Linked DNA regions of Callithrix jacchus. The protein of the gene in region 6 interacts with the protein of the main gene of each other region in a biochemical or structural test. Links are inferred from orthologs where the notes say so. Each region holds a gene or a part of one and is shown on either strand. Other genes may lie near its edges. The genes, in order: AKT1, BCL2L2, PAK1, YWHAQ, BCL2, BAD and PRKACA.

Region 1 (3,985 bases), on a different chromosome or scaffold from region 6:
CCACAGGTCCACATAGGCCTGGAGCTGGAACGCCCATGTCCTCATGCCAGGTCCCTTCTGCCCCTGAAGCTCCTCTGACCCAGAGCACACACCTCAGAACAACAGAAAGCAGCCTGGGCCACTCTCCAGAGACGACACCTGCCTCCCAAGAGGCAGGAGAAGGAGCTGCGCCTGGGCTCTGCAGACACGGCCACCCAGCCACTCACACACAGGGCACAGCCACCCCCACTCATCTTAGCGGCCACAGCACCCCCGAAGGCACCATCACGTCATGCGTGGCCAGCCCAAGCAGCCGTGGCGGAACTGTCGCCTAGGAGTTCAGCGGAGAAGCAACGTGCCCCAGGCCATGGCCGCGGGGAGTCCTGGCAAAGGAAACGGGCGAGGGCCCACTCCGGGACAGCGCCCTACCCTGCGCGGAAAGTCCAGGAGCAGCAAAGGGCACCTGCGAGGGGCTGTGGCTGGGCCCGGAGGATAGTCACTGCAACTCTCCCTGCTTCCCGCCCCCAGCCAGGCCTGAGCCCTGAAGCAGGGGTGGGGGCCGCCCAGCACAGCCCTGCTAGGGACAGGGAGACAGCTGGCACCTCCAACCTGTGTTGTGGGTACGCTGGCCCTGCCAGCAGGATGGCAGAGCACATTTGCAACACACAGGGGACCCGGGGTACAGGGAGTGGGAAAACGAGGCAGGCCCTGGAGGACAGGCTTTCCTCGGCAAGCAGGGCCGGCCTTGCAGGTGGAAGCCCGCCTGCTCTCGGCAACAAGAGAGGCCGTGCCTGCCAAGGGCATATGTTACATCCACGCTACCTCGCATCCTCAGTGCCCACTATACCGGGGATGGGGGAGGAAGAGCTGCGGGGAGAGGTCCAGGACCCTCTCTCCTGGCCTGAGGCTGGGGGCCAGGCGACAGAGCCCAGAGGCTGCAGACGCTGGCTGGACCCCAACTCAGGGACCCCACAAGCCATTCTCCACACCACAAGGTCTCCCTCCCACCACTGCACCCTGGTGTAGATGGGGAAACCGAGGCCTGAGGCGCTATATGAACTTGCCCTTGGAAAGGGACACTGTGGTGGAGTGGCAAACAGGGGTCAAACTCAGCTCTCTGGATGCCCCACTGGGCCTGATGTCCCGTCTCCGCCAGGCCCCTCCCGAAGGTATGACCTGAGCAGAAAACTGAAACTCACCCAGGCCTCAGACAAGTACCCCGGCCTGGGCCCAGCTGGCTGATGGGTGCCCCAGTAACTGGGCCTGGGCCCCTGGGCAGTCGAGGCCCTGGCATCTCCTGGGTCAGCCCTGAATCCAACAGTCCATCAACAAACAAACATTTGCCGAGGATGAGGAAGCGGCAGCTCCAAGCAGCAGGGCGTGCGGGACACAGAGGCACAGGATAGGAGCAGGGGGTCCCCGACACCAGAGGGCTGTGAGGCAAGGCAACAGAGTACCTCCAGGCACAGGGAACAGGACTCCTGGGGAACAAGCAGGGACAGCAAGGGCGGGGGATGGAGACGGTATGCTGGGCAGCAAGCCACGTCAGAAGCTCCCCAAGGACTGCAGGCTCTGCAGCCTCCTTGTCTCTGTCTCCAGGTCCCGCGTGCCATCCTGGTAGCTGCCCACTCGAACACTCCAAACCCACAGCTGACCACACCCCCAAACCCCTGGCATCTCATCTTGGTCACTCCTTCACCCCACTCCCAGGCTCCTGTGGCTTCTCAGGCCTGTTCTGCAGTGAGCTCCTATACATCCCACAATGCCCCATCTTGTGACACCCACTTTTGCCAGTCTTCCCTGTCTGCTCCAGCTGTGTCTGGGGTCTCCCCACTAGCACATGTGAAATCCATCTGCTAGAGGGTGTATGTAAAGAGGGGTGGGCTGCTGGCATGAGATCACTAGAACTTAGGAGGGAACAGGTCTGGAAAAAGAAGCAGAAGGTAACTGCCCCAGGTCCAAAGGACCTGGACCTGAACAGGAACCTGCCCCAGCGGGACAGAGGAGTCTGACAGCCATCCAGCCTCCTCTGCACCCCACTGAGCATGGACGGTGGGCAAGGCAGAAGGGCCTGCACAGGGTTGGAAGGGGTGAGGCTGTGGCCCCAGCTCCCATCCCACCAGTTTCTGGCCAGGCCCCCTCGGCCAGCACCCTCTCCATGGGCTGCAGGGCCAAATGAGGAGGAGGACTCAGGGGCTGGGGGGGCCTGGGCTCACGCAGCTCTGCAGCTCCAAGGCAAACATACCCTGTGCCCATGTGGTACGGATTCCCCCCCACCCCCAAAACTCAGGCCTGAAGCAGGCACCAGGCCAAGCCAAGCAGCCCTGCCCTGCCCTGCCCTCAGGAGCCCTTGGGCAGTGCCCCGGGCCGCCAGCGTGCCAGGCACTGGAACAACCCAGCGTCCTCACCGCCTTCCAGGAAAGAGAGGCTGGCAGCAGCTCCCCTGCCTGCAAGGGCCTGCACCAGGAAACCACTGTGATGGCTGGCCCTGCACGGGGCCTCATCCTCCCAGCCTCCCTAGGCCAGGCCCTCCAAGCTATGGGAAGACATGGGACCCCAGATACTCACCCTAGGCCAGCCAGGAGCCCCGGGGGGGGGGCAGCCTGTCCCAGCCAACAGGCCTGAGTACAGGCACTCAGACCCCGCGGCCACCCCCGTCCCTCCCTCCCCAGGCCCAGCCCCGGCACTGACCTCGTTTGTGCAGCCAACCCTCCTTCACAATAGCCACGTCGCTCATGGTGCCCGGTGCCCGAGGCTCCCTCTACGCTCACGCACTCCTCTCAGGCCGCTGATCCCCGAGCCCAGCTGACCTGACCACAGCCTCTGGGAGAAGTAAAGGGAGCTGTGTATGAGGCCGTGACTGGACAAGGACAGCTCCTCGCCCCGAATGAGCCCGAGACCCACCGCATGCGCCTGAGCTCCACCACACCTGCCTTCCCAGGGGAGCTGCCATCCCTTTAGGCTCCCTGACCCCCATGTGCCGGCCTGCCTTACCTCTCCCCAAAACACTCAGGCTGCCAAGTAATTGAACAGTTTCCTGGCTCAGAGCCGGCGGCCCCTGCCGCTGTGGCCACCCCAACAGCCAGGCCCTGAGAGCTGCTGCCTTGCTCACCCCCCTTTCCCACCTCCCCCTGCCTTTAGACAAATCACCTCTTTCCCCAAAAGGCCTTCCCAGCCTCCCTAATATGCTGCACCAGCTGACAGGCTGCCTCCTCCAGGCAGCCCCTTTCACCATCTTGGCCCAGGCTGGCTCGGCCTTCCCTAAGCCCCTGGTGACAGATGGCCCCATTTGCTCTCCCTGTCTGTGGTGTTCCTCCCCAAGGATCCTGGGACAGAGCACAGGGCTCCTCCCTGCTCCCCAGACTAGGAAAGCAAAGAAACTCAGGCATGATGAAGGCAGGACCAGGATGCAGGCTGCAGGCGCAAACGGGAGCCCAGAGCCCTCCGGGGAGATCCCAAAATCCTCCTGGGAGAAACCCCAGGCCCCTCCTAAACCACAGCGCCCCTGTCGGTCTGAATCTGGTTCATTCATTTGACCAACGTGTACCAGGCGTTTTGCCAGGCCCACTGCCGGGTGCTGAAGACAGAGAGGTTCAGACAAGTCTGTCAGTGAGGAGCGCCCAGTCCAGGGTGCTTACAGACCCGTAATTACAGCAGTTGGGAGGCAGCAAGTAAGTGGAGGAGCACTGGACAGTGCCCTCCAGCAGTGCCCACCCTGAAGTGCCCACCAGCCAGCCCTCACCTGAGCACACTTAGGCCATTGATCCTGTACGGCTTCCTCATTTCCCCTCTGATGGATGAACTCCTAGGCATCCCTCAAAACCCAGTTCCCATATCACCAACTCCAGGCATCCCCAGAAACAGCATGTGGCATGCTCTTCCTGGGACCAGTCCTCTGCTACCCTTCCAGAGAGACCTTCCTGAGGGGAGGAGGGTCCTCTCTGGGACCTCTAGGCCAGGCAGAGACCCCTGGCGACCTCTCTCCCTGCCGCCAGGCCACCTTTCT
Region 2 (4,172 bases), on a different chromosome or scaffold from region 6:
TCTGGAGAGAAGCAGCAGAGCCCTATGTCTGGATACAATGTTTCTCTCTAAGCCTTGAGGCATCAGGACAACGGCAAGGGAAAGGAGGGGTTGTGGGGGGCAGGGCAGAGAACTGCTCCTAGTTCTTGCCATTGCAAGAGGGAATGTTTTCTCCTTGGGGAATACCACCACCACCAGATTTGCCAGGCAGCCCAGCATGCACAGCAGCATGCGTGCACATGCACACGTGTGTCCAAGCAGCCCATGGTTACAGCCACCTCTCCCTATCGCCCAAGAACCCTCAAGCTTCCATTCCAAAGGGATGTACCTTCTATGTTCCCCAAATTCCACTCATCCAATGGAAACACAACTGCTTATGCAAGTCCACATTCCTCATGGCTACAAACCAAGTTCCAGGTCGTTTCATGTGCCCACACCTATAGGCATGATCCCTCCCACCTCCCCCAGCCCTGGAACGACTCCATCTCCTGCCCCCCTAAACTTGCCAAAACATTCCCCTCCCCTATGTCCTGCTCATTCTTCTAATCGCCTACCTGGCCTACTCAGCTCCCTTACACACTACCCTTCCCCTGCCCATCCCTGTTCCATGCCCACCCATCCACCAACTCCACTTCTTCCAAGGGCATTTCTCTGTTCTGTTCCTGCTCTCCAGACCCCCAGCCACACCTAGCCCCACCTGGCCCTGGACTTTCACTTGCTAGCAAAAAAGGCCCCTACAGTTACCAGGGCCCCCAGTGCCACGGCCCCTGTCAGCACTGTCCTCACTGATGCCCAGTTCCCCTCCCGCAGACGCCGCGCCTCCTCCAGGGCCCCGTCCCCGTATAGAGCTGTGAACTCCGCCTGTGGGAGAGAAGGGAAGTAGGAGAGAAAGAAGGAGAAAGGGATATCAGGAGAGGAAAGAGTGGAGAGAAGAGGAGAGGAAGAGTTCCAGTTCCATTCACTGCGAGCACTACCCCATTCCCAGCTCCTCTCTAGTCAAGGCTCTACTACAAGCCCCTCTGATCCCCCCAGGCATACCCCCACCCTGAGAGACTGGTTCATTTGCCCACTCTGTCTCCAGTGAATTCCATCCTTTCCTTGGCGAAAAATTCTGCTCAGAACTAGCATCCTTTGCCAAGGATTGCCTGACCACCCCCCATCCCTGATCCTCCCCACCTCCCATGCCATGACTCAGATGCAAAAAGTCCCTGACACCATTCCCCTGCAGGCACTCCTTGGGTGCATATTCTGCCCTCTGCTTGGGACCATGAGCCCATCCAGTGTTGACTGCATGGCAGCCCTGGAGTGCAGAGCCCAGGCATCTCTCAGTCTGATTCCACCCAGACGGGGAGCCTCAGCCCCATACCTCATTCCCAACATAGCTGCCTCAGCCTCCAATCAGAGCCCCCATCTTCCCCCTGGAGACCAGCTTTGCAGAGGGATGTGCAGAGCGGCAATTGAGAAGCTTCTTACCCAGCCCCCACTGCTGTGGATCCAGTCGGCCAGCCGCGTCTCCAGGTAGGCCACCATCCACTCCTGCACTTGTCCCACCAGTGGTTCCATCTCCTTGTTGACACTCTCAGCACACAGTGCAGCCCCAAAGACAAAGAAGGCTACAAGGCGGCCCCAGTTGGGACCCCCTTGGAAAAGTTCATCGGAGACCTGGGTGAAGCGTTGTTGGGCTGAACCTGGGGTCACATGCAGCTGAGCCGCCAGATCAGAGAAGGTGCGCCGGAAGCGGGTCTCGAATTCATCTCCAGCTGCCCGCATTGCTTGGTGCAGCGGGTCAGCTGCTGGGCCCTCCCCGGGGCCAGTTCCACAGACATAACCTTTCTGCCTCAGCTTATAACCTACAAAGTCTGCCACCAGAGCCCGTGTGTCTGGGGCGGAGGCTGGGGTCGCCATCCGGGCAGCTATAAGAGGCAAGGATGAAAGACTGGCATTAATATATGGACAGAGAACCAGAAGGAGAATTTCTGGTTTGCCCAACCCAGTGAGATGGGGAGGATGGAGGAAATGCTCAGAGCTCACTAGACAGGGAGAGGCAAGAACAAGGGAATTAAGTTATGATGCGGGACCAGGGTTCGATAGGCTGGCCATTACATCCTAATATGCAAAATTAAATGCAAAACAAGTAAATTTTGTTTAGAACACTTTAGATTCTTTTCATAATAAGACAACGTCAGCTCTGTGACACCCCTACACACCTCCCCCTGCTCAGTCCACACCTTCTTGGCCAGAGGAAGGGGCTTAGGACCTCCCCAAATGCAAGATGTAAAGATGTTGGCAGAGGCACAAGATGAAGGGGAGCAGATGGGCTGAAGAGAAAGGTGGGAGACGCAATGGGTTCCTCCAGACAGAGAAAGGAAGGAGACACTCACCCAGCCGGGATGGCAGCTCTTAAGACACAGCGCTGGTGGCAAGGAGCCCCCAGCTGGGGCCTTTCATCCTCCCAGCCAGCGTGGAGCCCTGAAAAGGGGAGGGGGAGATCAGAACCAGGAGGGGAAGGCCAGGGATCAGGGTCTGGCCTGGGAGGGCTGGGGTTGCAGCTCTGGGCCTGGGCCCCTGCCCCCAACGTTCTACTAGCTGTGTGGCCGAATCCATGTTTAATGACTGTCCTCCTGGGAAACCCAGGGCGAAGGGCTTCCTGCCGACACCATCTCTATTCCCGGTTCCCCCTAGTGCAGCCCAAAGGCCCAGCTCCTCCCTTACCCCCACCTCAGCCAGTCTTCAACCCCGCCCGCCTGCCAGGTTAGGGATCTCACGGGTCAGGCCGCTGCCGGGATCCGGGCCGTTTCCTGGTGCAGGAGCTGGGAGGGAGGGAGAGAGGGAGGAAAGGAGGGAGGGAAGGAGGGAGGAGAAAGGGGGGGCAGAGGGAGGGCCCGGCGCCGGGTGATGATGGGGCCCAGAGATGCGTCCAGAGAGAGGGGCGGGGCTGGGACGCAGGCCTGCGAAGGGCCACTACTCAGGAAGAGGGAGGGCTGCTGAAGGCTAAGAAGGACTGGCTGAGAGGGCACAGTAAGCTGGGCTGGGCTGGGTTCCTGAGCCTCGAGGCTGCCCAGAGAAGTATGCTGGACTTCAGGACATCTCGAGGCAAATTCAGCATTTCCAGGAGGTTTCCGATGTTCCATGCACTTGTTGAACTTCTCCAGCCCTGGATTGTGTGTGCCTGGAAAACAGGAGCAGTTCCCATTAAGCTGAAAACCGCCTGCCAGGTGCCTTACCCTTCTGGGACTAGCAGACACCACACAGACACCAAACCTTTCCCATCCTCTTTTCTCCACGACCTTTAACCCAGTGTTCTGCTTGTGGGCTGGGCTTCAGCCAGGCATCAGGGAGCCAGGACTTGGATCACAAGCGGTTTCTGCTGGTCCTTTTCTTTAATTCTTCATATTCTTTTGTAATAGATTTATTTTACTTTATTTTATTTTATTTTTTACCTAACACATGAACTACTTCTCATGGAAAAAAAAATCAAATAAAGAGGTACGGAGTAATAAAATGCAGGTTCACTCACACACACACACACACACACACACACCATTCCACTTCCCTCCCTGCAGGTTGCCAGTGTTAAACTTGATGTTTATCTTTCCAGATTACACATATATTCGGCCATTATTTATACATGGCAGTATATTTATATGGGGCAGACCACAAGGCGTTAAGCAGTCTAACCACAGCTGATCCACATGAGGGCACTCACAGCCAGCCCCCTGGGCTCTTGGATCTGGCATTTCCTCCATTTAAACATCACCCCAAACAAAGGCCAGAAAGAGGAGATCCAATTCTCTTTTTCTGCTAGTTCCCTTTGCTTCTACCTCCAATCCAAGCCTTGGTATTACCAACTGCCCTTATGGTCACTAGAGAAGCAAGGTCTTTTCTGCAGCAATAATAGTAACAACTAGCTGGGTTTGGTGGCTCATTCCTATAATCCCAACACTTTGGGAGGCTGAGGCAGGCAGATCACTTGAGGCCATGAGTTCCATTCCAGCCTGACCAACATGGCAAAACCCCATCTCTATTAAAAATACAAAAATTAGCCAGGTGTGGTGGTGCACACCTGTAATCCCAGCTGCTCAGGAGGCTGAGGCACAAGAATCACTTGAACCCAGGAGGCAGAGGTGGCAGTCAGCTGAGGTCATGCCATTGCACTCCAGACTGGGTGACATGAGACTCTGTCTTAGAAATGG
Region 3 (3,500 bases), about 58 Mb from region 6:
TCTACAATTCCACTAAGTTGAGAGCAGCATGATCCAACACTGAACTGGGAGGCCTCAGTTTCCTTCTCTGTCTAATAAACAAAACAGACTAGATGAGCCCTGAGGGCTTTCTAGTTGTGATACTCTTTGAGCCTATAAGAGCAGTGGCCAAGAGCATACACAATTGAGAGCCAAACAGGCTGAAATCCTGAATCTACCACTTATCAGCTATAATGGAAAAGTTACTAAACACTTGAAACCTCAGTTTCCTCATCTGTAAAAATGACAATAACTGCTGGTGCGGTGGCTGAAGCCTGTAATCCCAGCACTTTAGGAGGTTGAGGCAGGCAGATCACCTGAGGTCAGGAATTCAAGACCAGCCTGGCCAGCATGGTGAAACCCTGTCTCTACTAAAACTACAAAATTACCTGGGTGTTGTGGCAGGCACCTGTAATCCCAGCTACTGGGGAAGCTGCGTCAGGAGAATTGCTTGAACCCAGGAGGTTTAGGTTGCAGTGAGCCAAGATTGCAGCATTGCACTGCAGCCTGGGCAACAGAGTGAGACTCTGTCTCAAAAAAAAAAAAAAAAAAAAGAGAATAACTGGCTGGGTGCAGTGACTCTTGCCTGTAATCCCAGCACTTTGGGAGGTCAAGTAGGTGGATCATGAGGTCAGGAGTACAAGACCAGCTTGGCCAACATGGTGAAACCTCATCTCTACTAAAAATACAAAAATTAGCTGAGTGTGGTGGTACAAGCCTGTAATCCCAGCTACTTGGGAGGCTGAGGCAGGAGAATCGCTTGAACCTAGTAGATGGAGGTTGCAGTGAGCTGAGATTGCAGCATTGCACTCCAGCCTGGAAGACAGAGCAAGACTCCATCTCAAAAAAAAAAAAAAGAGAATAACAGAACCTACAACTCACAGAGTTGTTTTGAAAGCTAATACATAAAGTGTTTAGCACCTAAATATATAAAGGGTTTAGTGCCTAAAATATAGTAAAGATTCAATATAATGCATTTATTACTATTTATATTACCATATCAGGAAGAAAACTTTAGAGGGCATGAACTTTTTAAGAACTATAATTTGGTAATTAACCAACAATGGCATCTCTACTAATCACAGGCTTAGCATACAGTATTTACACATTTTCCAGTACCTACAATTTCTAGAATACAACTCTTATGAACAGCAAGAGTTCTTAGTACATTGTACTAAGAGACTTGTAGTCCCAACAGATACTAGAGACTAATGGGTTACCCTTGGCAGAACCCAGATCTCTTTACCTAATAGGCCAATGCTCCATAATCAGTAACCTCAATTACAAAGAGATGCTAAATATGTTACAGAAGGTGATATTCCAATGTAGGTTATTCCAGCAATTCCATTCAATTCAATAAATATTTTCTAAGTACCCATCCTGAGTCAGGTCCTAGGTAAAACATGAGACTGAGGGATTAATAAAATAGAGGTTATAATACAGTAGGAAAGAGACTCATAACTAACTTTAACACAGGGCAATATGCTAGGTCCTGCCCTGCCCTGCTCTGTCACTCCTGGGCTTCATAATATAAAAGTAAATGACAGTGCATGCCTTCATAAAGTTGCATGTGATACTTACTATTAAATCACCAGTGGGCAATACAATAAAAGAACTCTAGTTATAAGAAATTGTACTTGAAACATACATGTTAAATACAAATGATGTGGCCTGCCAAAGGCAATTTTTGCAACCATATAAAATTATCAGGTTTAGGCAAGTGGGAGAATAAAAGGCCTGGTAAATCCCTGACTCCGAATTTCCCCACAAACTGGCAAAATCTTACTCAACAAGTAGAGTATCAATGCCATCATCTGAGGATTTCCAATGAAGAAAGTGTAAAGACTCCAAAAGCCATACTCACTAATTATCTTCTAAACTTATGTTCCATGGATGGGTGTAGTTGCTCATGCCATGCCTGTAATTCCAGCACTTTGGGAGGCTGTGGCGGGCAGATTGTTGAGCCTAGCCTGGGCAACATGACAAAACCCTGTCTCTACAAAAAAATAAAAAATTAGGCAGGCATGGTGGTACATGCCTGCAGTCCGAGCTACTCTGGAGGCTGAGGTGAGAGGATCAGCAGAACCTGGAGAGGTTGAGGCTGCAGTGAGCCATGATTGCTCCACTGCACTCCAGCCTGGGCAATAGAGACCCTGTCTCAAAAAATAAAACATAAATAAAACTTACATTCCTTTGCTAAAAATGTATCCTTTGAGTTAATCCCAGCAAAATATAACTTGTGTAGGATTTGGTTGTTAGAGAGCTGTTTCTCATCAAGACTCAAACAAACTGCCAGACTAATTCAAACAGAACATAGGAAGTGCTAATGAAAAATACAAGCAGGATGGGCACAGTGGCTCATGCTTGTAGTCCCAGCACTTTGTAAAGCCAAGGTAGGCCGATTGCTTGAACCCAGCAATTTGTGACCAGCCTGGCCAACATAGCAAAACCCTGTCTCTACAAAGAAGTTTTTTAAAAAATTAGCCAGGCATGGTGGTGTGCACCTATAGTCCCAGCGACTTGGGAGGCTGAGGTGGGAAGATCACTTAAGTGAGCCCAGGAGAGGAAGACTGCAGTGAGCCAAGATCACGTCATCGCACACTCCAGCCTGGGTAAGAGAGTAAGACCCTATGGAGAAAAAAAAATGGAAAACAAAGGGAGGAGAGGGAGAGGGAGAGGAGAAAGGGAAGAAAAGGAAAGAGAAAGAAAAGAAAGGAAAGGAAGCAAGCAAGCAAGAAAGCTACATGGAAAGCTCAGTGTGCTCAGAAAATAGATTGTAAACTGAGCCTAGGAGAATGTGTACAGGAAGAGGCTAAGAAAAGAGTATGAGCAAAGTCCCAGGGATAAAAGTTAGGGCAGTAGGAACAGAGTGAATGTGGGAAGTGGTAGAAGAGAAGCCTAGTTCTATAATATCCACTACCTTATAGAAAAACATGAAGTAAAAAAGGCTTGATTTAGTGATTCCTTAAATTTGGTGCTTCCCTGCATAGGGACAGTTACCTGCAGCAGCTCTTTAGCTGAACCTCTCTTCTCCACATCCATCTCAAGACAGCGGTTCAGAAAGTCCCGGAAGATAGCTGACAGCTTCTCTGGGTTCTGAAGTTCTGGGGTCCCATTGGTGGCAATGAGGTACAAGGCCTGGCAATAAAGATGGTAAATCACCTTGAGCTCCAACTGAGGTTCTCTCTTGTTCCCCATATACACATTCTAGAAATACAGTCAGCTGCTTTATGCTCTAGGATGCAAAGCAGCAGCTGTGTATACATACTTGAAAGAGTATAACATAAGGATCAGGTTTTACATTTGAAGGCCATGAGACTATGTGCAAGCCACTGAACTTCCAACTTCCCTGTCTGTAAAGTAGGGATGATGATAATGCCCATCTCATATGTCTGTAAAAATAAGATAGTGTATTTAAAAGTACTTTGTAAACTTATGAAATGTTACAGAACTAAGGGTTTATTATTATATTTTTTTTTTGA
Region 4 (4,224 bases), on a different chromosome or scaffold from region 6:
AGAAAGCTCTCAATACAGTTGCCAACTTGAAGAAGTGCTTTCCCAAGATAGGCTGGCCACCAAGCCACGATTAGCCTCTTAAGCCATTTTATGAATATTTAATTTATGCCTTGGTGTCTCAGATTCATCAAGGTAAAGTATTCTATCTCTTCTTAGTATATAAAAGAGACGGTCCTAAATTCAGGGGTTCTCTCCTATTGAAATGATCTGTATGAGAGTTCTAATAATACCTGGTCTCTCTCTCAAGCTACACATCAACTAAACAAAACTCTCCCCCAACTTATGCCATCATAAAAAGTAAAATTTGTAAGAGCCACAAAATAAAACAAATATTCCTTTGACTCAGAGTCACCTTGATGGAGAAAAAGAAAAATTATGTGGCGATTCTGAATTGCCTCAAGGTTACTAACTGCAAAGTAATAGTCTTTTCAGAAAGAGACTGAAATATATGCTGTGAGAGCACCCAAAATACATATACAGAAAACCCTGTTAACATGGAATTCTTGAGTCTTTCCTTGGTAACAGATAATGCTGTTAACAGCCATTACCATATGTTATTGAAGGTGAAGTCTACCATTACTTTCAAGCGGGCAAATTTTTTTTAATACAAGCAATTCAGTCCAAAGAACTTTTACAAGGGCTTCTGCAACGTCAAACAGGGACTGGAAGCTAAGAACACACGATGAATAAAACAAAGTTTTGACTTCATAAAGTAAATAACCTCAAGCTTTCTCCACTTCAGTGCGCACTCTGTCTGCATTACTTTCTTTGCCCCTTTACCAGCTATTTCCATCCACCATGGTTTTGTTCGGAGCGCCTGTCGTCGTATTAGAAAAATAGGTTAAAATAGTTCTGTGGATTTTTTTTTTAAACAAGGAGTTGGGGAGGGAGCCAGAGCGAAATTATTTTTTCTATTCCCTTTTGAAAAAAAAAAAAAAAATCACCAGTCTAGCATGCCAAAGCCCACCTAAAATACGATGTGCACAAACACATAAAAAGTCAGTAGGCCTCATGTAAAAGTGGCACTTAAAGAGAGGCAAATCATGTCAGATTATTTCCTATTTTATTCAAAGAAATGACTGCAGCACTGAAACGTTTAAAAAACACTCCTGCATATAATACTGGTATTTCAATTTTAAAAACTTATCTAACTGATCAAAAGATTCGTGCAATGACAAAGCTAAAAATGTTCTCTCTCACTAATAAGGGTGAATCACACCAGCCACCTACTCCACCCAACAATCACCCTTGCTAAGGCTGGACAGTTCAAAACCTGGAAAGCTTGCTCCAAACCAGAAACGAATTCGCTTCAACACTAGTGCACAGCTACGCGACAGCAAAGAAATGTTACTAAACGTTGAAATTTACCAGGACATTGTGTTCTTCAGATAGAGCTGTGCCCTTTTAACATTTACCCAACTCCCCCATCTCTCCTGTTTATAAGGGGTGGGGGGCGCAACAGACATTCTTACTAGAAAAATGAAGTAACTGCTCAGATTTTCGAAGTAAATTTCAATTACCGGGTTTGGGGAAAATCCCTACCACACTGTCTAACAAAAAGGTGCCTGCGCCTTCTTTCAACTGCCTGAAGCGGGTGAACCGACTCAATACATTTAAACGGCTCAGAGATCTCGGGACACAGTCTCCCGGCACAAAAAACTTACAACCGCCTTTCAGCCTCGCAGAGACCTACTTGGATGTTTCCAAATTCCATCGTTTGGTAGCTACCCAGCATCTGGGAAAAGAGATGGACTTGTCCTTGGAAAAGCGGTTTCGGGAGTCTCCAGAACCAGGGAAGCCAGGGCTCGCCTGAAACCCTCCACCTCGGCAGACAGTCCGGCAAGGTCCGGCTCACGTTTCCTTGCTTGCCCGCGAAACTCTCGATGAAAAGCACCCCACAAAAGGCCTCCCCCGCTCCCCGCGCCGAGGACTCACCAGGACCGTGGTGCAGATGGATCTGAGCTCGGACTCCACTTTCTCCCGATAGTCCTTAATCAGCTGCAACTTCTTGTCGGAGGTGTCGGTCTTCTGCTCGATGCTCGAGATGACCCTCCAGGCGGACCTGCGGCCCCCGACCACGTTCTTGTAGGCCACGGAGAGCAGGTTGCGCTCCTCGTTGGACAGCTCGGCGCCCTGCTCGGTCACTGCCTTCATGCAGGTGGCCATGTCGTCGTAGCGCTCGGCCTGCTCGGCCAGCTTGGCCTTCTGGATCAGCTCCGTCTTCTCCATGGCGGGCGCAGGGCCGGGGCCGGGGCGAAGGGTGAGGAGAGCGAGGGCGAGCGCCGACCCGGAGCGGGAGGAGACTCAAGAGCTGCGGAGGGGCGGGGCGGCGAGGCGAGAACAAAAAGCAGGGAGGGAGCGCCGTCAGACAATGCGACCCGCTGCCCGCTTTTGTCTCCTGCACACGCGGCCGCTTGAATTTCCCTCTCCCCAGTCCCAGCCCCCGCCCCCGTCAGGCGCCCGGAGAGGCCGCGGCCCGCGGCAGGAGGAGGCGGGGGCGGCACGGAGGCCCCGCGCGCGGGAAGCCCGAGCCGCGGCCGCTCCCGCCACCCCCGCCCGGCCGGCCCAAGATGGAAGCGACCGTTGGCCCCGCACCTTCCCGCCCAGAGCTGTCCCTGAGGGGAGCGGCGTCGACAGCCCGCCGCTCCCAAGGGCGGCGCCTCAGCCGGGCCCTCAAGCCCAGAGCGGCCGGAGGAGGCCCGCGGCCAACCCAGATGCTCACCTTCACGTCTCCGCGGCCGCGACGCGAGTCCCACCACTTTGATCTGCCTTTGGCTTTAGCCGAGGACCCTCCCGTCTCAGCCTACCCCGGAGCCGAGGGGCGGTCCGCCGCCCAATTACGCGCCGAGCTTGCCCCGAGAGTCCCGCCCCCCGACGCGCCACGGGCCAGTGAGGACCGAGCGCGCGGAAGGGGGCGAGGGGGCGGGGCGGGAGGGAACGCGGAGGCTAGGAGGGTGGGTCGGCGCGGGGAAGTTCGGTTGGCCGGCAGGCTGCGGCTCCGGCCACGGGGTTTCCTCCAATTAGATCCAGGGTAAAAGGACGTCACTGTTGCCATGGTGATGCCGTTACCAACTCCCCTCAGCCTCCCCGCCACCCCGGCACTTCTGGGTGCGGCACGAGACCCAGAGGCGCGCACGACCTCCGAGGCGGCGGCCGCGTCTCCCGCTGCGGATGGTGCATTGCATCTCGCGGGCTCCGGCCGAGGCTGGACTTGGGAGGGTGACATAATCGGCTGTTTGGAGCACAGGGGCCTTTCTTTCCTCCACCTTTCCCTCCGTGACAAAGGTTTGGATCCCAAGACACTAAACCCAGACGTTAACGACGTTGCCACTAGGGTTCCGAATTCAGCAAACCACATCCCCATTAAAGAAGAATTGATTCATGGAGACATTGGCTTCAGTATGGCATTTACATGATACATTCAAGTTTTCAGATGGGCACCTAAAACAAAAAAATTCCCTTATGAAAAGGTATGTCCCAGAAGATCCAGGCGAGTCTCTGCGGTTTTCTTTAAAATGGGGAATGCCAGTAAGCACAATTTGCAGGGAAACACCTATAACTACCCCTCCCCCCCAAAAAAAGCCTGCCCATAACATCTCCCTCCCCAAAAATCAATTTTTATGTTTCTTTCAGGCTTTCCAGGTTATGCGTCTAAATACATAATTTTTCACATCATTGTCGCCTGTGCACACGCTTTTCGTTTCTGGTATTATTTGTGAGAGGACACTTGAAAATCTGAAATCCTCTCCCTGGGTATTGATTTCTGATTTTCTTCTCCTGGGGAACACCCTGCTGAAGTGGGGAAGATTTCCCCAGGCTCCTCCCATTCAGGGTCATCCCTGGCATCTCACTTTCCTTTTAAAGCACTCCTGTCTCTCCTGGCACTTCCCCAGTGCCCTCACTCCATCCAGGTAGGGTGACTGTCCTGCCCTTCTGGTGAGTGGCCTTTGTGCCATCTTAGGATGAGAATTGCCATCTGGGTTCACACTGCTCTGATCCCTATTCCAGCAGGTCTAGGGAGAATGGATCATTGAAGGGCCAAGAATGCCACAGGCAAGAAAGAATTTCCCATTCTCAGTGGAGACTGCAGCGAATCTAGAGAATCTCTAGAATGGAAGATCTGAGAGTGCAGACAGATGGGAGGAGAAGGTGCCGACTTTCCAGAAATTCAGACTCCCTCGTGGCTGCCCCTCCCTGTCCTGACTTGTAAAGGTTGCTTTGTGC
Region 5 (4,110 bases), on a different chromosome or scaffold from region 6:
TATGTCGACTCTAGGTAGTGAAAAACAAAAGATTCTAACAACATTCTAGTGAATTAGTAACTCATACACAAATTATAGAACATAAAGAATGCAGCCGATGCAAATTCTGTCACTGACGAGGTAGCAAAGCCATAGACCAATACCCCTCAAGACACTGCGTCACGCCCACTGGAAATATGGCACACACTGGAGATTCCAGTGCAAGGACTTTGGAATGTCAATTTAGCTCTTTACAAACACAACTAAGTTTTCCAGGGAAAGGGACTCAGGTTGGTTTTCCTCTTTTGGAAAATTTTACCGAGTTAGAAAAAGCGTACCCTTAGTCTTCTGTGGAGTCTGTTCTTCTCATTGGGGTGTTCCCAAATTTAAGTGCACCAGGGGCGTGTCTCAGGGGAGCTTGTTTAGGATGCAGACTGTCAAGACCCAACCTGGCATCTGGTTCATAAGCAGGCCCTGAAACCTCCCTCCGGTCCCAACAAGCTGCTCAGGCCAGGAAACTGTGGTCCTGGGGACTCCTGGACCTCCAGCTCGAGAAACACTGAAGGGGTACCATTGACCACCACATCCTACTGGACCTCCTCAACTAGCGAGCAAGTTAAAGACTTTTAGAGGGCAGGCGTCATCACTCAGGTTGGGAAAGAACACTTTGTCCAGAGGAAGAGGTTATGGACGCCGGGAAGCAACAACCCTGATTTTATTTCACCAGCCCCACAGCCTCCCCTTACCCCAGGAGCCCACCCGCCGCACTCCAACCCCCACATCTCGGACCTGCAGCCTCAGCCCAGACTCCCATCACCACGTGCACCTACCCAGCCTCCGTTATCCTGGATCCAGGTGTGCAGGTGCCGGTTCAGGTACTCGGTCATCCACAGGGCGATGTTGTCCACCAGGGGCGACATCTCCCGGTTGACGCTCTCCACACACATGACCCCACCGAACTCAAAGAAGGCCACAATCCTCCCCCAGTTCACCCCGTCCCTGAAGAGCTCCTCCACCACCGTGGCAAAGCGTCCCCGCGCGGTGAAGGGCGTCAGGTGCAGCTGGCTGGACATCTCGGCGAAGTCGCGGCGGTAGCGGCGGGAGAAGTCGTCGCCGGCCTGGCGGAGGGTCAGGTGGACCACAGGTGGCACCGGGCTGAGCGTAGGCCCCGTGGCGGCGGCGGCGGGGGCGGCTGGGGGCGGCGGCGGCGAGGTCCTGGCGACCGGGTCCCGGGGCGCGGCGGGACCGGGCGTGTGCCCGGGCTGGGAAGAGAAGATGCCCTCCGCGGGGGCGGCCCCTGGGGGCGCGGCGCCCACATCTCCGGCATCCCACTCGTAGCCCCTCTGCGACAGCTTATAGTGGATGTACTTCATCACTATCTCCCGGTTATCGTACCCTGTTCTCCCAGCGTGCGCCATCCTTCCCCGAGGAAAAGCAGCGGGGGCCAACGGCACCTCTCGCTCCAGCTCCCACCCCACGGCCCCCAAAGAAAGAAGAAGAGTTATAATCCAGCTATTTTATTGGATGTGCTTTGCATTCTTGGAAGAGGGGGTGTCTTCAGTCACGCGGAACACTTGATTCTGGTGTTTCCCCCTTGGCATGAGACGCAGGAAATTTTTATTCCAATTCCTTTCGGATCTTTATTTCATGAGGCACGTTAGTAGTAAGCATTGTTAATATCAGTCTACTTCCTCCGTGATGCTGAAAGGTTAAAGAAGAAACAAACTCATAAGTTAAAAAAATCAGGTGCATTTTCCTGTATGCCCTGGCTGAAAGCAGGGCATACGCACTACAAGTAACACGGCTAAAAAGAATGTATTAAACTGCCTGGAAATTAAATTTACTCGAATGCACTTTAAGTAAAAATTCTCAAATGTTTTCATTGAAAGTTACATTAAGCCAATTTCCTGTGCAGAGAACTTACTTGTATTTTTTAAGAACAGCATGATCCTCTGTCAAGTTTCCTTTTTTGTAAAACCAAAACAAATGCATAAGGCAACAATCCCATCAATCTTCAGCACTCTCCGGTTATAGCTGCTTTGAAACTTCCCAATGAATCAGAAGTCGGGGGGAGGGGGAGTAAAAATTAGGAGGATTTCCAGATCGATTCCCAGACTTCTGCTTCACAGAAATGTCAATCCGCAGGAATCCCAACTGGAGATCTCAAGAGCTCGAGAAAAAAAGGCAGCGGCGGCGGCAGATGAATTACAATTTTCAGTCCGGTATTCGCAGAAGTCCTGTGATGTTTTCCCCTTCTCGGCAATTTACACGCGCGCATACACGCGCGGGCACAGGCATGAATCTCTATCCACCGGACCGCTTCACGCCTCCCCGGCAGAGAGACAGGGGAGGGGGGACGACGGAGGAGCCGGGGACGGGGGCAGCAATCCTCTTCTGATTAAACTCCGAACAGCGAATGCATTTTCCGAAAAGCTGCTGGATAAATGAAGGCAGGACGCGCCTGGCCCGCCGGTGCCGAGCGCTAGAAGCCCGCGCTGTGTGTGGTGCGGCGAGGGGTGGGGAGAAGGAGGTGGTGGGGGAGGGCTTTATTTTTTCCCTCTTTTCCTAAAAAGGACGACTGCTACGAAGTTCTCCCCCCTGGACCCCCTTCTTCCGCTGCACCCCACCGGCGCACCCCGCCTCCGGGCTGCGCACCCTTTCTCCTCCTCCTGCTCCTGCGCGACGGCGCTGGCTGCGGCCGCCTCCCGGAGCTCCCGCCGCGCAGCCCGCTCCGAGCGCAGACGGCCGCCGGCGGGGAGGGCCCGGCGCCCCGGCACCTTCGCTGGCAGCGGCGGCGGCGGCGGCGCGGCGGGGCCAAGGCGAGCGGCGAGCGGGCGGCGCGGCGGGCGGGCTGGCGGCGCAGAGGGGCGGGCGCGGGAGGAAGGGGGCGGGCGCGGGGCGGGGGTGTCTGTCCTCTTACTTCATTCTCCGCATAGCCCGACCGGTTTCCTGTGCGTAACGTCACACGGTTCATTCAAAAAAAGAAGAAAGAAAGAGCCCTCCTCTGAGCCGCCCGACCGCCCCCTCCGCCCCGCTCGCTGGCCCGGGTTAAAGGCGCCGCGGCGGGCCCGGGAGCGGCGCACCCCACCGGGGGCACATGGCGCGCGGGGCCGCGACCGGGGAGGGCGCACCCGGGCCGGCCACCCGCCCGTTCCGCTGCGTTCGCCCGGCCCGGCCGGTGGGTGGCGCGGGTTGCGCGGGCGGCGCAGGCCTCCCGCGCGGCCGCGGCGCGGTGGGTGTGAGCGGGCCTTCTGCTCAGGCCTGTGGAGGGCCGGGCGCGGACCTCGGGGTCCGCGAGGGGGTGGGGGCTGCCGGGGAACCGCACGCGGCCCGGCCGGCGACGGAGAGCGGAGGGGGGCGGCTGGCGGGAGGGTGCGCCATGAAAACAAGGGCTGGAAAAGCGCCGGGAACCGCCTGGACCCTTTCTAGCCGACTGAGAGAGAGAGAGAGAGAGAGAGAGAGAGAGTGAGAGAGTGAGTGTATGTGTGTGTGTGTGTCGCCTGGACCCTTTCTAGCCGTGTGTGTGTACACGCGCCTACACACACACACACACACACACACGCCATGTTACCCGCGCTCTGCCCCCGGGGGAAGACCCAGGCCAATGCCACCCCCACCCCCCACCCCCAAGCAGGGGGACCTTAGCTCTGCCCTGCGGTGAAAACAGGCGACTCTGAAACGTTTTAAGCAATATCCAGGGACGCCCCCAGCGTAGTGTTTACTTTCAAGTGGATTACTAGGTGTCGGCGCACTACACACGCGCGCGCATTCTCGCCGGTGTCCCCGTGAATATCCAGTACGTGGCCAAGGCCAGGCAGAACTCAGCGCTCCACGGAAGGAGCCAGCGAGGGGTTATCAAGGGCTTTAAAATAATTTAAGTCCGTGTTGTTCCTCTGTCCCTAACACGTTCTGCACTGGGTCAGGGCTGCACGCTGAAGAGTTCTGCATAGTAACTTTCGGGCCCACCGTCCTAACGCTGGGGTGGGTGGGCTCCTAAAGGTCTCCACCTTTCTCCACCTTTGCCTTGTAGCCAATCCTAGATGGCCGCACTTTCTCAAATGATGTACGCAGATATATACACATCCACACTCGCAGACGTGTGTAAGTGCAATCAGTTTTAAATTCATCGGA
Region 6 (4,239 bases):
CGTCTCTAATGAAAAAGCGAAAAATGCCAAGGGTGGTAGCTCATGAGTGTAATCCCAGCACTTCGGGAGGCTAAATCGGGGTCGGATCAAGACCATACCCACTAACAGGGTGAAACCCTGTCTCTACTAAAAATACACAAAATTAGCCAGGCGTGGTGGCTTGCACCTGAAGTCCTAGCTAACTCCTAGCTTGCACCTGGAGGCCTAGCACTCCAGCCTGGGCAAGAGAGTGAGAGTTCATCTTTAAAAAGAAAAAGAAAAAGTGAAAAATAATTTAACTGGGTGTGGTCCACACACCTGTATTCCCAGTTACTTGGGAAGTTGGGGTAGGAGGATCACTTAAGCCCAGAAGTTCCAGGCTGCAGTGAGCTGAGATTGCACCTCTGTACTCCCTCCCGGATGACAGAGTGAGACCCTGTCTCAAAAAAAAAAAAAGAAAAGAGAAAAAAAGCAAGTTATAGGGTCCAATCTGAGGAAGGGAGTGAGTGTGTGTGGTAAGAGAGGGAGAGGGAGGAGGCCTCTTAAGCCTTCTTAATCCTGAAAATGGGGAGGAGGTCGTTTAAGCTTCAGTGCAATAGTGACCTGACCTAGTTTTCTATTTTTAGAGATGGGGTCTGGCTGAATTGCCCAGGCTGGTCTTGAATCCCTGGGCTCAAGCCAGCCTCCTGAGTAGCTGGGACTACAGACATGTGCCACCCCACCCGGATTGACCTAGTTTCTTTGTTCCGAAATTATCTGTTGTTGTTCCAGGCCAGTGCTGGGCACAAGGTAGTGGAGCCTATTGAGAAATGGCCGTGACCCCCAGTGTTCATTCATCCTTCCATCTTGCAGCTTGTGCTCCCCACCACACATAGCCCCGCTGTCTGGGAGGACTGTCTGCCCCTTGAGGTCACCTGCTCCTGGCAATTGTACCAGGACAGCCTTGCTGTGGGTGCGAGCCACAGGACAAGACAACACACCCGGGAGCTGGAAGGCCCAATCCCAGGGAAAGCACATAGCCTGGGGCAGGGCACCAAGGAGCCTTCCAGCCCCACCTCCTAAGGAAGGAAACCCCAGGCAAGTGTAACCTTAGGCAAGTCACTTTTCCTTTTTGCATCACTGCCTGCCTGTCACTGATTTCTATCCTGGCCCCACACTAATAGCTACCCATTATATATATATGTATGTATTTTAAGAGATGGAGTCTCCCTATGTCACCCAGGCTCACCTTGAACTTCTGGGCTCAAGCGATCCTCCTGCCTTGGCCTCCCCACGTGCTGGGATTACAGGTGTGAGCCACCAGGCCCAGCAGCTGCCATTTTGCCACTTTAATGTGCACCAGCTCTGTAATCAAGTGAATCCTATATGTTCCTGCTAATTAACCCAACAGTCCTACAATGGTGGTGATTAATTGCTCTGTTTTACAAAAGAGGAAACTGAGGCTCTGAGAGGTTGGGGACTGCCCCGAAGCCTTCAGTGCGTGTGGATGCAGCTGGGATGCAGGGAGCCAATGGGCTGGAAGTGAGGCGACCCAGCAGGTGGAGGCGGAGGGGAACTCACCTCCATGGTGGCTGCTGCTGGTTGACTGTCCCTGCTGGTGACTGGCGTCCCCCGGGAGGCCTGGGGCCTGGCGTCGATGCTTGCCAGAGCCTGGGGGCCTGTCCCCTGCGGTGCTGGGGCTCAGGCCCCTCTCTGCAGAGCTGGAGTCTTCCTGCTCACTCGGCTCAAACTCTGGGATCTGGAACATGCTCTGGGCTGTGAGGACAAGATGTTAGGTAGTCAAGGCACAGCTGGGGCCAACGGTGGTCCTGGAAGGCAGAGGCAGGTGCCCCTGGCTCCCTCTCCCACCCTGGCGCCCCGAAGCCCGCCAGGCCTCCCGGGCCCTCATCTGTCTGCTGGGTCTGGCCTGGCAGGGAGCTGAGGCTGTCGGCTCAGGACCTCAGTCTCCCGTCAGAACCCTGGTGGACCCAGGCCCCTACCCAGGGGCCTACCCAGGTCCCGCCCCGCCCGTGGTGACGGCGGACAGGTCTCACCCCAAGCCCGATCTCGAGGCCCCTGACCCGGGCCTGCCGCCTCCCTCCTGCAACCGGGCTCCCGGCCCTAGTTGCCTGGGCAACGGGAACTGTCAGCGACCTGCCCCAATCACCTCTCGCAACGTCACTCGGGTAGGTCCAGAGGCGGGGTCAACCCGGCCCGGCCCCGCCCCCCCTCGTCCCGACCTCCTAGCCCACCGCCTTTTTCCTACCTCCCGCGGCCCGGGTTCTCACATCCCTACTGCCTCACACCTTGGATGTGTGTAGGAGCAGGAGAGGGATTCTCTGGGGTCCCCATTTGGAACCTGGAGACCTGCTTCTGCAGACAAGTCCTTCAGCCCCTCTGGGCCTTAGTTTACCTCCAGTGAAGAGGGGATGGTGACAGCTCTCCCGGGAGCCAGTGAAAACTTTGTGAAAGGAGTGATTACTACGGGCGAAGGCGCTCGGCACAGCCGCAACTGAAGCTCAGCCGTCGGATGCGATTATTGTTGCTATTGTTACTGCTTCGCCTGGACTGGGTGACCCGGTCGGAAAGTCCCGTTCCCCGCTCCTCCTCCCAGGCGTGGAAGCTTCGCGCCGCCCGCCTCGGGGGACACCTCCCGCGCCATCTCGGGGGCACTGGAGATAAGGGAGGGAACCTCCTCCCTGGCTGGGATGGCTGCCCGGGCGCGGGAGGAGGGCCGGGGACCCAGTGAGGGTGGACCGTAGGGCCCGCGGGGGCTTCGCGCCTGGCAGGCGGCAGGCCAGGTGAGCGGGGCCGCGGGCGCGCCAGGACGGGGGGCGGGCCCGCGCGGGGGATTCGGGGCTCCGCGGGTTCAGACCCGGGGGCGGGGCCCGGAAGCCATCTTGGCTATGGGCGGAAGTTTTCTTTAGAGACCGAGGGTCGGGGATTCGTTGTCCCCGGCCGGGAGGCAAGACCCCAATTTGGGGATGGGGGAGAGAAGCGTGGGAACTGGCGGCCCCCCGAACTAGTAAAGGCTGGCGGCCCGGGGCGCGGCCTACCCGGGGGTCCCCTGTGTGCGGCACAGTCCCCCGCAACTCGGCCGCCCGCCTGCCGCCTCCTGTAACCCCGGGCGCCCGCCAGCGGCGCAGCTCGTGCCAATTCTCGAACGGCTCCACGCCGGGTGCGGCGCTAGACTGCGGAGCCAGCCCGGCCCCTGCGCAATTTGCGTAGCGAACGGCGCCCGCGCAGGCGCAGGAGGGGGCGGAGCAGCGGGAGCCGGGGAGCCGGAGCCCCGGGTCCCCACGATCTGAGCCGGCTCTCCCAGCAGCGGCCTGAGGACCTGGCATCCGCCTCCTCCCGCCCCTTGACGCTGGAGAGTGGACGCGGTGGAGGGGTGGGGCGGGGGCAGCCTCCGAGAATTCCGAGGACAGAAGGCAGAGGCTCTCCCCATCCGCATTATTGGAGGAGAGAGCCTCCCCCAACTTGGGGAGGGGGAGAGCGGGGCATTGGGCGCCCCCGATAGCGGCCGCTGCCCTGGGCCAACGGGCATCGGCCGGCTCTCCCCCTCCAGCCAGGACGACACGAGCGATTCAGGCCAGGGACTCCTTTCCTTGGGCCTCTGCTTCCCTCCATCACTGGCTCTGGGGTAGGCCCAGGGAGGAGACACCACCAACCCTCAACCGATCTGCCCTGGAGAGAAGAAACTGCCCTTCCATGCCCCTGAGTGAGGGGCCTGGGGCCCAGGCTGCCCATGTTCCCCAAGGGCAGGGGTCTCTCTGTTGAGGAGGAGAGGTCTGTCAGCCACAACTTCTTTCCTCCTGAGCGCCCCATCTCCCTCTCTGCACCCTGCAATTCCCACCCCTCCGTATTTATTTCCTTGGCCCCGCCGACAGCCCCTCCTTCTCTGTCTCAGGGATTCAGGCCTCCCTCCCTGACATGGAGAGTAACCTGTCTGGCCTGGTGCCTGCTGCCGGGCTGGTGCCTGCGCTGCCACCTGCTGTGACCCTGGGGCTGACAGCCGCCTACACCACCCTGTATGCCCTGCTCTTCTTCTCCGTCTATGCCCAGCTCTGGCTGGTGCTCCTGTATGGGCACAAGCGTCTCAGCTATCAGACGGTGTTCCTGGCCCTCTGTCTGCTCTGGGCTGCCTTGCGTACCACCCTCTTCTCCTTCTACTTCCGAGATACTCCCCGAGCCAACCGCCTGGGGCCCTTGCCCTTTTGGCTTCTCTACTGCTGCCCTGTCTGCCTGCAGTTCTTCACCCTGACGCTTATGAACCTCTAC
Region 7 (3,500 bases), on a different chromosome or scaffold from region 6:
TCTGACCTCAGGTGATTCACCCACCCTGGCGTCCCAAAGTGCTGGGATGACAGGCGTGAGCCTCTGAGCCTGGCCCTCTTCCCTTTCTATCTCTCTGTTGGTTGTCCTCCCTGACTCTTGGCCTGCCCCCAAATCTTCAGCAGGCTTAAGGAGGGGAGGCCCACCTTCCTCTGGTAGATGGCGATCCAGTCAGTCGTGGCAAACCACTTGTGGTTCTTGATATCGTTGACCCCATTCTTGAGGTTCCCAAAGCGCTTGGTGAGATCTACCTGCAGGAGGTTCCGCAGGAGGTCCTTCAAGTCAGAGCTGAAGTGGGAAGGGAACCGCACCTGGAGGAAGGGGTACAAGGACAGGGTGGGAAGCTGCTCTGGAACTTGGGGAGCCCAGGATGCTTCCTTCTCCATCCAGCAGTCCTACTGGGTGGGTGCCTCCAAAGCTGAGTGCCTGCTGGCATCCTGTAAAACAGCTCCTTGGGCCCACCCTAGAGTTTCTGGTTTAGGAAGTCTGATACTGTGGCCTGAGAATATGCATTTCTCAAACAACTTTTTAAAAATTAAAGAGCTAGTTACTCTAAGAAGTTTTTGGCTGGGCACAGTGGCTCACGCCTGTAATCCTAGCACTTTGGGAGGCTGAGGTGGGCAGATCACAAGGTCAGGAGTTTGAGACCAGCCTGGCCAACATGGTGAAACCCCAGCTCTACTAAAAATACAAAAATTAGCTGGGCATGGTGGTGCGTGCCTGTAGTCCCAGCTACTCCAGAGGCTGAAGCAGGAGAATTGCTTGAACCCAGAAGGTGGAGGTTGCAGTGAGCCGAGATTGTGCCACTGCACTCCAGCCTGGGCGACAGAGCAGGACTCTGTCTCAAAAAAAAAAAAGTGTTTGTAGAGACAGGGTCTCGCTACGATGCCCACGCTGGTCTCGAACTCCAAGGCTCAAATGATCCTGCTTCGGCATCACAAAGTACTGGGATTATATGCATGAACCACCACACCCAACAAGAATCTGCATTTTTTTTTTTTTCTTTGAGGCAGAGTCTCACTTTGTCACCCATGCTGGAGTGCAGTGGCGCAATCTCAGCTCATTGTAACCTCCGCCTCCTGGGTTCAACCAATTCTCCTGTCTCAGCCTCCCAAGTAGCTGGGATTACAGGCGCACGCCACGAGACCCAGCTAATTTTTATATTTTTACTAGAGACAGAGTTTTGCCATATTGGTCAGGCTGGTCTCGAACTCCTGACCTCAGGTGATCCACCCACCTTGGCCTCCCAAAGTGCTAGGATTACAGGTGTGAGCCATCGTGGCTGGCCCAAAAGTCTGCATTTCTAGCCAATTCCCCAGCAATAGTCCTGCTGGAAAGGAGTCCCCTTTAACAACCATAAGGCAAGTGCTATTATGGTTTCCATTTCAGAGAAGGGGAAACTGAGGCTTGGAAGGGTTAAAGAACTCTTCAAAGGTCACGCTGAGGAGTGGGACGGGGCAATTCCATCTCAGGTCTGTGGGACTCTAGAACTTGCATTCTCAGCTACTGCTGCCGTAAGCCATCTGTGCTGGGGTCTGTAGACTTCTGAAATAGTCATGCTTATGTTAAACGTTTTTCCCTCTCTCCCTGCCTAGCTAAGTCTCTTCCATTCTTTAAAGCCCAGCCCAACTCTTGTAGAAATCTTCCCCAAACGTTCTGAGTACATAGCCTTGTAGACAAGTCGTCACTGGAGTTATAGTTGCAAGAAATGACTTCTTGTTCCTGCTGTGCCTCTTACATGCTGTGTGACCTTGGCCATGGCCCTTAACCTCTCAGGGCTGCACGAGGAAGATAATACCACTGAGGGTGCGGGGGGACTGGAAAATGCTACAAAGAAGGGCATCATGTGCGTCTTCCCCTGTGGGATCTTCTGTGGCTTTTTTCTCCATTTTTTCCCACTCTGGGCCATTTTCTTGGCAATTTCTATTCGGCCTAGTGGCAAATGCCTCATCTTTCCTTTTCTTTTTTTCTTTTTTTTTTGAGAGATGGAGTCTTGCTCTGTTGCCCAGGCTGGAGTGGAGTGGTGCAATCTCAGCTCACTGCAACCTCCGCCTCCTGGGTTCAAGCAATTCTCTGCCTCAGCCTCCCTAGTGGCTGGGATTATAGGCACCCGTCACCATGCCTGGTTAATTTTTTGTATTTTTAGTAGAGATGGGGTTTCACCATTTTGGCCAGGCTGGTCTTGAACCCCTGACCTCGTGATCTACCTGCCTTGGCCTCCCAAAGTGCTGGGGTTACAGGTGTGAGGCACTGTGCCTGGCCTTCCATCTTTCCCTTTTAGTGATGCTATGTGTCTAACCAGAGAACCCCAGTTGCCTGAATTTTTTTAAGACAGGATCTGGCTCTTAGCCCAGGCTGGATTGCAGTGGTGCAATCACAGCTCATTGCAGCCTTGATCTTTTGGGCTCAAATGATCCTCCTGCCTCAGCCTCCCGATTAGCTGGGACTAGGGGTGCACCATCATGCCCAGCTAATTTTTAGATTTTATTTTTTAAAGAGATGGGGTCTGGCTATGTTGCCCTGGCTTGTCTGGAACTCCTGGCCTCAAGCCTCCACCTCCCAAGGTGGTGTGATTACAGGCGTGAGCCATTGCACCCAGCCCCAAAGTTTCAAAGCCAGCACTGGGCCCAGGCTGAGCCTGAGGGTGCTCCCACCGGGTGTGGTGACTCTGGGCCGACCAGAAGCTCCTATGTAGGAGATGCTGGACCAGGTCGGAGGATGGCTGGGTCCTCCCAGCAAGGTGGCTGAGCTGAGGGCAGAGGTGGGGTCCCCAACCTCTCTGGCCATCAGTGCCTATGATGACTCCTCTTACTCACTAAGGTGTGATCTTGGTCAGGACACATCTCTTTTCCCAGCCAGTTTCCTCACCTCTCCTACAGAGGGTGCCACCATCTCAGGGTGTGACTGAGGGGGGTGAATCTGGGGCCTGGCAGATGGCAGGCACTTTGCACCTGTCACAGATACAAGCTTACATGGTTTTACCACCCTTAATCTGAACTTTCAGAGTTTGACAAATCTGTGTTTTCGAGAGGAAGCATGGGCCTTAAACCCTAAGCGAGGGTCCTTCCTGGTGAGGCTGCAGACTGCACCTGGGAACCAAATACATCTTGGAACTTGCGAAAACTCACACTGACGGGGACAAGGAGAGGTGAGGAGGGTCGCCTGGCAAGGTGGTTTGTGTTTTGCAGCAGGGAAGTTCCCGTGAGGCTCGGGATTTTGGAAGCCCCTGGGATTCTGGAACCGTGGGGTTGGCGCTGGACAGCCAGGGGGCTCATGGTATTGGCACATCCAGCTTCACCACCTGGCCTGACTTACGGAACTTCTAGGTGATTCTGACAACAAGCAGGGCTCCCCAGAGAGTAGGATGGGTGAGCGGGGAAGGGACTGTCTCATTCTTTCAGGACTGTGCCCCTCATCCAGGCCTCACCTTTCCAGAGACGATCTTCTCATAGATCTGGATGGGCTGGTCTGCGAAGAAGGGC

Evidence for each region.
Region 1: of the proteins of BAD (region 6) and AKT1, one has a biochemical effect on the other in vitro, tested with the Homo sapiens proteins (6 studies listed by BioGRID, with this or other methods). The link is inferred for Callithrix jacchus from reciprocal best matches to the Homo sapiens genes BAD and AKT1.
Region 2: the proteins of BAD (region 6) and BCL2L2 interact in a biophysical measurement, tested with the Homo sapiens proteins (4 studies listed by BioGRID and IntAct, with this or other methods). The link is inferred for Callithrix jacchus from reciprocal best matches to the Homo sapiens genes BAD and BCL2L2.
Region 3: of the proteins of BAD (region 6) and PAK1, one has a biochemical effect on the other in vitro, tested with the Homo sapiens proteins (3 studies listed by BioGRID). The link is inferred for Callithrix jacchus from reciprocal best matches to the Homo sapiens genes BAD and PAK1.
Region 4: the proteins of BAD (region 6) and YWHAQ form a complex in vitro, tested with the Homo sapiens proteins (2 studies listed by BioGRID). The link is inferred for Callithrix jacchus from reciprocal best matches to the Homo sapiens genes BAD and YWHAQ.
Region 5: the proteins of BAD (region 6) and BCL2 form a complex in vitro, tested with the Homo sapiens proteins (5 studies listed by BioGRID and IntAct, with this or other methods). The link is inferred for Callithrix jacchus from reciprocal best matches to the Homo sapiens genes BAD and BCL2.
Region 7: the proteins of BAD (region 6) and PRKACA form a complex in vitro, tested with the Homo sapiens proteins (2 studies listed by BioGRID, with this or other methods). The link is inferred for Callithrix jacchus from reciprocal best matches to the Homo sapiens genes BAD and PRKACA.

Annotation. Positions count from the first base shown.
Region 1 is NC_133509.1:139,660,245-139,664,229, forward strand, and holds the start of AKT1 (RAC-alpha serine/threonine-protein kinase), read right to left. Parts: upstream 2,801-3,985; 5' UTR 2,717-2,800; coding exon 2,671-2,716; intron 1-2,670. UniProt on the Homo sapiens protein: AKT1 is one of 3 closely related serine/threonine-protein kinases (AKT1, AKT2 and AKT3) called the AKT kinase, and which regulate many processes including metabolism, proliferation, cell survival, growth and angiogenesis.
Region 2 is NC_133509.1:57,649,357-57,653,528, reverse strand, and holds the start of BCL2L2 (bcl-2-like protein 2), read right to left. Parts: upstream 2,801-4,172; 5' UTR 2,698-2,800; exon of another isoform or gene 2,692-2,697; intron 2,449-2,691; 5' UTR 2,361-2,448; intron 1,893-2,360; 5' UTR 1,885-1,892; coding exon 1,453-1,884; intron 841-1,452; coding exon of another isoform or gene 691-840; exon of another isoform or gene 1-690. UniProt on the Homo sapiens protein: Promotes cell survival. Blocks dexamethasone-induced apoptosis. Mediates survival of postmitotic Sertoli cells by suppressing death-promoting activity of BAX.
Region 3 is NC_133511.1:63,616,968-63,620,467, reverse strand, and holds part of PAK1 (serine/threonine-protein kinase PAK 1), read right to left. Parts: intron 3,157-3,500; coding exon 3,019-3,156; intron 1-3,018. UniProt on the Homo sapiens protein: Protein kinase involved in intracellular signaling pathways downstream of integrins and receptor-type kinases that plays an important role in cytoskeleton dynamics, in cell adhesion, migration, proliferation, apoptosis, mitosis, and in vesicle-mediated transport processes.
Region 4 is NC_133515.1:105,347,839-105,352,062, reverse strand, and holds the start of YWHAQ (14-3-3 protein theta), read right to left. Parts: upstream 2,801-4,224; 5' UTR 2,723-2,800; intron 2,312-2,722; 5' UTR 2,230-2,311; coding exon 1,936-2,229; intron 1-1,935. UniProt on the Homo sapiens protein: Adapter protein implicated in the regulation of a large spectrum of both general and specialized signaling pathways. Binds to a large number of partners, usually by recognition of a phosphoserine or phosphothreonine motif.
Region 5 is NC_133514.1:106,292,019-106,296,128, forward strand, and holds the start of BCL2 (apoptosis regulator Bcl-2), read right to left. Parts: upstream 2,801-4,110; 5' UTR 1,904-2,800; intron 1,681-1,903; 5' UTR 1,398-1,680; coding exon 810-1,397; intron 1-809. UniProt on the Homo sapiens protein: Suppresses apoptosis in a variety of cell systems including factor-dependent lymphohematopoietic and neural cells. Regulates cell death by controlling the mitochondrial membrane permeability. Appears to function in a feedback loop system with caspases.
Region 6 is NC_133511.1:121,342,697-121,346,935, forward strand, and holds the start of BAD (bcl2-associated agonist of cell death), read right to left. Parts: upstream 2,801-4,239; 5' UTR 2,311-2,800; coding exon 2,265-2,310; exon of another isoform or gene 2,181-2,264; intron 2,094-2,180; exon of another isoform or gene 1,971-2,093; intron 1,735-1,970; coding exon 1,540-1,734; intron 1-1,539. Other genes in the region: integral membrane protein GPR137, read left to right, coding at 3,892-4,239. UniProt on the Homo sapiens protein: Promotes cell death. Successfully competes for the binding to Bcl-X(L), Bcl-2 and Bcl-W, thereby affecting the level of heterodimerization of these proteins with BAX. Can reverse the death repressor activity of Bcl-X(L), but not that of Bcl-2.
Region 7 is NC_133523.1:12,873,214-12,876,713, forward strand, and holds part of PRKACA (cAMP-dependent protein kinase catalytic subunit alpha), read right to left. Parts: coding exon 3,446-3,500; intron 330-3,445; coding exon 165-329; intron 1-164.